2 linked regions of the Saccharomyces cerevisiae S288C genome follow. The gene in region 2 interacts genetically with the main gene of each other region. Each region holds a gene or a part of one and is shown on either strand. Other genes may lie near its edges.

Region 1 (3,715 bases), on a different chromosome or scaffold from region 2:
GCGCTAATATCCTACTTAAGTGGTTGAATTCTTGTATGATTAAAAAAAAAAAAAAAAACACCTGTCTTATTTTCAATTTTATGGTACTGACTTTGAGGGTACGTGAATCATCGAAGGAAACATAATTGCACTGATATGTAAACTTCCTAGTTTCAAATGTTTTCTCGGAATACCAAATAACCTCTAGCCATAAGTTTATTTTCAAACTTTTTCCTCTTAGGTGATAAGGGAGATTAGAAAAAAAGAAATATTTATTATTGAAATAACTGTCCAAAGAAGCAAAGTGAATATAGAAGAAAAAATGCGAGTACTTACGATTTTTTATTTAGCTAAGTAACCAACGTGGTGCCATATTCACGACATAGCAAGTGTCCATAGTTGCATGCGTTTTCTTTAATATCATTGTGTTTTATTTTTATTACTTTAAGAAAAAATACAGTAGCTTTCATGCCTGCACAAATTTAACAAGAGTTTCATGGGGTACATTTTTAATGCCTCAACTATTTGGTATTGTTCAAAATTTTCTTCAAACGCTTGTTAAATCTTGAATCAGCGTTGTTATGCACCATGGCCACATGTCTCTTATAGGCGTCTTTGCGCCTAAACGTTTTCTGACAGATAGGAAATGGGCAATTCAGTCCTGGATATTTTTCTACTTTTAGATTTAATGATTTCTCCATCTCTATATCAAGCTCTCCTATATGTTGGGAAGCACAATGTCTTCTCAGACCAGTTGCTTGTTGGAAACCCAATATTTTCCAGGGACATTGCTCTATGGGACACTTACACGGTCTTTCAAGGTTGAATTCGTCTAAGTGCGCGGCAAACTCAACTAACGTTGCGAACTTTTCAGAACAATGAGAACAGTGGTAACTTCCTCTTTTTGTTTGCCCTTCGGAAATTGTGCTGAGTACTTTGGGGTCGTGATATAGCTGTGCCACGTGCGATTTTTGGGGATAGCCTAGAATACACTGTGAATGGGATTGTTCTGTTGTATTGCTCTCAATAAATACAGGATTTGCTCCTTTTTGACGTCCATAATTAATAAGATCTCTGAACTCCGGATCAACTAATGACGTGATACAGTGTGTACTGTCCGCTATTTCATCCGGCCGTAATTGAGGTGCTGTACCTTCCTCAGTAGACGACGTAGAGTCATAAGCCTGTCTCTGATTTCCGGCTATAACTGTGATTGTGTTTTCTAATGATAGTAGTAAACAGTCCTCAGTGCTGGAAGGCAGGCTGGAAGGCAGGCTGGAATCCCCCTCTAAGGGTGATGCCGAATATTCTTTCATGTTTTGCCCGAAATCGTGCCAATGATAAATCGGTTGCACCTCTTGTAAAACCTCTCTGTTCCAAGACCCCTTGGCGATGGCACTGTTTTGTCCATAACACGGTGACATAAGTGCTGAAAATCCCAACTTCTAGTAAAGAATTAACAAATTCAACTGTATGACTTATAGGATAAGAACAATGTCAGTTCCAATGCGTTGACACAGTAGAAAATATATTTACTAAGAAGCAGCTTCGTCGTTGGTATAGTTTCGGTTGATCTAGATATAAATATAACTACAAATAAATGGCAGGAAAAATTGAAGCAAATGACACAGGACATATCTATCACATTGCTCCCTTTAATTTCCTCGAAGGCACTCTGGCCTTTGTTCTCTGCATAAGAAAAAGCCAGCAGAAAATACGGTGATATATTTAATACATGCCCGGCCACTTTTCTGCTGGTAAAGCCCACCGGAAAAGTTCGGATTTTCTTATCCAGTATACGCCGACCTTTTGATGTAATCTGTGACATCTCACTCCGGCGGCCATTTTACGTGACGAAGCATCCCTTACAACAGAAAGAAGAAAAAAGATATGCCGCTTTGCGGTTTCTTTCTGGCAATGTATGCACTCATAATGCTACTCGTTTACCCACTATCCCTGTCCAAACTAAAGAGGGAGGAAAGCACTTTTTGCATTTACACATCGTAGATTATAAAATGATCGTTAACAGGCGCTTGTGATTTTGAATTTAAGAAATGTGGACTAGAGAAGTCTTAAATCGCCAATGCTGTACCAGACTCTCTATAGCATCTAAACACGAAATTCAACTGTTATCTTAGTTTTTCACTTACCAGTAGCGCGCTTGTTATTCCCACGTTATTATTTGCCCCCACATCATAGGTCAAGTGACCTTCTCTTACCCGACATGAATAAAGAAAAGAAAAGAAATCATACCCTTCAGCCTGTTTAGCCATAAATAGTAAAGAGTAGATGTTTCGACGGACTAAATAATGTGAAAAAGGTTCTAAAACCTTCAAAACAATTAAACTTGAGAAACGTTGCTATAGGATTGAGCTAATAATTTGAATTAATAGGAGCTGCTTTTTACTTTGATATATCCTGAAGTTATGTTACGAGTTTCTGAAAATGGTCTACGGTTTCTGCTGAAATGCCATTCAACGAACGTAAGCATGTTTAATAGGCTTCTGAGTACTCAAATAAAGGAGGGGAGAAGTTCCATAGATGATGCTGGCATTATCCCCGATGGAACTATTAACGAAAGGCCGAATCACTACATCGAGGGAATTACTAAAGGCAGTGATCTGGACCTCTTGGAAAAAGGTATAAGAAAAACTGACGAAATGACTTCCAATTTTACAAATTATATGTACAAGTTTCACAGATTGCCCCCCAACTATGGAAGTAACCAGCTCATTACTATCGATAAGGAACTTCAAAAGGAACTGGATGGGGTAATGTCATCCTTCAAAGCTCCGTGCCGGTTTGTATTTGGTTACGGCTCAGGAGTTTTCGAACAAGCGGGATATTCCAAAAGTCATAGCAAACCTCAAATCGATATAATCTTGGGCGTCACATATCCATCACATTTTCACTCTATTAATATGAGGCAGAATCCGCAACATTATTCAAGTTTGAAATACTTCGGTTCCGAGTTCGTGTCTAAATTTCAACAGATCGGCGCAGGCGTATATTTTAATCCATTTGCAAATATAAATGGACACGACGTAAAATATGGGGTGGTTTCTATGGAAACACTTTTAAAGGACATAGCTACTTGGAATACATTCTATTTAGCAGGACGACTACAAAAGCCTGTAAAAATATTGAAGAATGATTTGAGAGTGCAATATTGGAACCAATTAAACTTAAAAGCTGCAGCTACTTTGGCCAAACATTACACCTTAGAGAAAAATAACAATAAGTTTGACGAATTCCAATTTTACAAGGAGATCACTGCCTTAAGTTATGCAGGTGATATTAGATACAAACTGGGTGGAGAAAATCCCGACAAAGTTAACAACATTGTTACCAAAAACTTTGAAAGATTTCAAGAGTATTACAAGCCGATTTACAAAGAAGTGGTCCTAAATGATTCATTTTATCTTCCAAAAGGGTTCACATTAAAGAATACTCAGAGACTTTTGCTCAGCCGTATTAGTAAATCAAGTGCATTACAAACTATTAAAGGTGTTTTCACAGCTGGAATCACAAAGTCAATTAAGTATGCTTGGGCCAAAAAACTAAAATCGATGAGGAGAAGCTAGTGTATCCAATGTTATCTACACATTATCTTTTATCAAAAATGTTTTATCGTCCTTTCATCTCTTTCGAAGAATCGCTCTATTCACATTCCAAATCTCTGGCGTCGGTCAATATTTATTCATCTTTATTTTTACCTTCTTCTAGATAATATACA
Region 2 (4,286 bases):
TAAACAAAAAACTATGATAAAATATTTCTAAAAATCTAATTGGAAAACAAAAAACTATCCAAAACCCTGGGCAAAATAATTATTTCGAATAAGTACCTCGACTTCAAATCAAAACAAACAAACAAACAAGCAAACAAACAAATAAACAAACAAATTCTCTGTTCCTATTTTCTTCCTCTTTGTTCTGCACTTCCAGCTTTTTATGCGAGAACATCGTGTAAACTTCCTATTTAAGTAATTACATGGCTGAAAAAGTGAACACGCTAGAACACGAAAAGACAAAAAAGAAAAATGGAAAAAACAGAGGAAAATCAAGTAGAATAATGTTTATTTACCTTTCACTCAACTGTATCTTTTTGTTTATTTACTTTTCGAGTTTGCATAATTGTACTGAATCAATCCTTGCGCAATTTGGTTTTGAGAAGAGTTTCCAGTAAAATAAAATGCAAAATTATTGTTTATATACTTATTTACTAGTATATTTAATTGAGCTAAGCAAGGATTTATGTGTTGATGCTTTATTGTGCTTTTTGTACTGGACTTCTTGGTCTTAACAGCTCAATCTCATTTTTTAATGGGATATTCGAACCTAAATTAGCTATCTCTTCTTTATATCTCTTGGGTGAGAAGTTATCCAACATAACATCTGGGCTCACTATAACCCAGCCAGGTCTTACTTTGACGGGTGTCTCGTAACCAGTCCTTGCAGGAATAATATGTAATCGTCTAGTCGCGGTAGAGAAGTTTTCTGCAATACGATACAAATGGGATGGTACAGCACCATTAGTGGTGTCCTTCGTTTCGATACTCAAGTCAGTGTCTACGTTACAATGAATAAGATGTCCATCTGTAGACCTCCTTACTGTACCTGTGATACACATCCAACAGTGCCATTGCATTTTTTCCATCAACGTTTCATCGTCCTGATCTAAACCTGGATAAAACGGTGATTTCTTGTCAATAGGAACAAAAACCAATTCTTCACTTCTTCTAAACTTTTTAGCCCATATTTCATTATTCAAAAGTTTAGTAAGTTCATTGATTTTTTGAGAATTGGCCCAGATGAACAGGAAACCTGGTTTGGAGATCAATCTATCCAATGGCAATTGGGTTAAAATTGGGTAAATAAACTGATTTTCTGTTAAGCAGCCAATCATCACCACGTCGAAAGTCAAATTTTCGTTCTGTATCCAGTGATTCAACGTTGGAACAATGGAATCTATTCCGATTTTACACCCAAATGGCGTAGTGGCAAATTGATTTATTTGTTTAGCTTTCGCCTGAAATAATTTCTGAAGTTTTGGATAGCCATCAACCCTATTCTCAATATTAGTAACATGCTGTTGCGGTAGCGACTTCCCATGAATGTAGTTATTCGAGTAATCGTTTGTATGGAAGTCTCTAGAGGGTTTGAATGATACGTGTTTAGATTTCATTTCTATTGTTTCCTGGTTTGGCCCTTGCAAGTGACTGTTGTTGATGTGTCTGCTTTTATTCTGGTCGTAAGTTGGATCTTGGAATGCCATCTTAATAGTATTCTCACTTCTCTTTTGTTTTATAATGGCTGTTCTACTTTCTTCTATGTCATAATATTTAACAAAAAGTCGCACTTGAAAAGTTGAAACAAGTTATGTCGCAAGATGAAACTCGGAAATGACGAAGTGTGAAACAAGACTACAGAGCGACAAAAACCAAGCTGCAAATATACAGTAATGAAACTGAAAATATGTCCAGCAAAACTAAAATTGTTTGAGCTCGATACTAACTTCCTTCTTTTTTTTTTTTTTTTTTTTTTTACTTTTGGCTATCCTATTGTAAACGCTGTTTTACCCTTTTGCAAAGCATTTGATCACAAGATATATCCCAAAAACTATTTTTTGACTTAAGGCATTAAGAGGAGATAAGGCTCCTAATGTCACATCCAAAAGCCAAAGTATGGGACAAGCATTTCGCCCCTTTGCTCTTATTGCTTCTTGTTAAGTAGAAAGGGTAATTATAATCGAAAAATTCGCGGGAAATGATTTCAATGTTCGACTCTGAGGTAAGAAGTAAAGAGGAGATGAATAAAAGTAAAGGAAGAAGAAAAGAAAGTTGAATGGTTTCGAAGAAAAATACGGCTGAAATCAGTGCAAAAGATATATGGGAGAATATATGGAGTGGTGTAAGTTCGCTGCTTGATTTCTTCGCAGTATTGGAAAACCTAGGCGTGGTCAACGATAAGTTATATGTAAGTGGGCTATTACGGAAAGTTTGGCTGTGTTACTCGTGCATTTCAGTGATAAAATGTGTATGGAAATTAATAAAATTATGCAAGGTGAAATTTAAAATCGATCAACGATTGGATGGGGAGGGAAATGGTCTAGTAAAGGATAAGTTGATAAACTTCAAGAAAAAATATAACGAACATATCAGACATATTACTGCTGCTTTACTCCAAGATTTGAGCTATTTAATGGTTTTAATCTATCCAGGGACGAGGTTATTTAAAAGATTATCTAACATAATAACACTTTGTAGAATAATTGTATAATTTTATGCTTGAACGAATTTAGTTCTGTAAGCCCAGCTCCTTCAAGAAAGCATCCTTAGAAGGTTCCCTACCCAAAAATTCTTTCAGATTATCATTAATATCATAAAGGCCACCACGAGCCAACACAATATCACGGTATTGTATCCCATTCTTGGCATTTAACGGATCCTTAGCGAATTTGGTGTGATACATATCAGTTGCAAAGACTTCCGCCCATAGATAACCGTAATAACCGGCAGAGTAAGAGTCTGACATTATATGGCCAAATGAATCATAACCCTTGGATAACGTACCACCATTAGAAATCAAAGAAATATCCTGTCTCAATTGGTTCCAGGTATCGCAAATTGACAGGTTTTGCAAGTCTTTACAAGTATGTACTTTCATATCAAATAACCCAAAATGTAATTGTCTTAGAGTGAATAAAGCACCATTTACGTGTTTAGTTTTGATCAATGAATTGATCAAAGATTCTGGAATTTTTTCGCCCGTTTTGTAATGTGATGAGAGGTTGATTAATTCATTCTTATTCCAAGTCCAAAATTCTAACATTTGGGAAGGTGCCTCCACAAAATCCCATGGAACAGATCCGGGGCCATTAAACCTCGATTCCTTGTTTTGTCCCACCAGGTCATGGATACCATGGCCCAATTCATGGAAAAAGGTCACTATTTCGTTATGCTTCAGTAGAGAAGGTTTATCCTTCGTAGATTTGGAGAAATTGCAAACCAACGCAGTAACCGGATACGATCTTGTGGTGTCATCAATCATGAATGATGACGATAAACCAAAATTGGCAGCGTGGCCATATTTACCATCACGAGGATGTAAATCGAAATAAATCCAACCAACAAAGTTTGGAGACTTTGGATCATCCATATTCCAAACGGCGATTTGTTTGACGTCGTCATGCCAAACAGATTTGTTTTGAGAATCTTTCGTCTCGATAAACTTCAAATTAAACAATGTTTCGTATATTTCCAGCATACCAGTAATCGTAGCCTCTAGTGGAAAATATTCAGAAATCTTTTCTAGGTCCACATTGAAGTTTTCTAACAAATATTTGTTATCGTAGTAACGGTGGTCCCAAATGTAGTAGTTTGGATCTGCACCCTGGTTAAGTTTCTTAACATCTTCGGCTTTCATATCTTGCAAGACCTGTAGTTCCTTTCTGCCCAGCGGAATTAGCTTGTCCTTCAAATCATTCAAAAAGTTCATTACCGTAGTGCTATCTTCAGCCATTTTATCATACAGGTTGTAGTTCGCATACGTGTCATAGCCCAATAACGAGGCCAATTCGTCACGCAGCTTCAATGTATCCAACAGTATAGCTTCATTTTCAGGGACCTTATTTTGGTCGGCCAAAAAGGCCTGCTTTCTAGTCTGAGCTGAGGATGCCAATTTCATCACGGGAAAAATGTCCGGATATTTGAAGGTGACTTTATACAAGGTTTCATTGCTATCTTTGTCAGATTTTATTGTCTCGAACTGCGTCAAAATAGAATCCGGCACACCTTCCAATTGTTCTTTGGTGAAAGTGATGTATTCCTTTTGTTCTCCCAGATTCTTCGAAAAATTAATAGAGTTAACGGAGATCTTCTTTTTGATCTCTTTGATTTTCAATCGGTTTCCCTCGTCAAGTTCCAAACCAGAATGAATGTAGTCCTTGTAAGACTTCTCAACGTATTTGAAAGTTTCTCTTTCCACAGAATCTGCCTTCGATTGAACATCCTGCCAGACGCGGGCGAATTGCAAA

What was found. A genetic interaction does not mean that the proteins touch.
Region 1: of KAR4 (region 2) and RME1, changing one suppresses a phenotype caused by changing the other (phenotypic suppression), as found in Saccharomyces cerevisiae (one study listed by BioGRID).

Annotation. Positions count from the first base shown.
Region 1 is NC_001139.9:582,490-586,204, forward strand, and holds RME1 (Rme1p), read right to left. Parts: upstream 1,404-3,715; coding exon 501-1,403; downstream 1-500. Other genes in the region: YGR045C (uncharacterized protein), read right to left, coding at 1,445-1,807; TAM41 (putative phosphatidate cytidylyltransferase), read left to right, coding at 2,406-3,563. UniProt on the Saccharomyces cerevisiae protein: Involved in the control of meiosis. Represses the transcription of the IME1 gene thereby inhibiting cells from entering meiosis. But also activates the CLN2 gene thus promoting mitosis.
Region 2 is NC_001135.5:25,169-29,454, reverse strand, and holds KAR4 (Kar4p), read right to left. Parts: upstream 1,527-4,286; coding exon 519-1,526; downstream 1-518. Other genes in the region: PEX34 (Pex34p), read left to right, coding at 2,096-2,530; PRD1 (metalloendopeptidase), read right to left, coding at 2,549-4,286. UniProt on the Saccharomyces cerevisiae protein: Component of the MIS complex, a complex that mediates N6-methyladenosine (m6A) methylation of meiotic mRNAs and is required for initiation of meiosis, progression through the meiotic divisions and sporulation.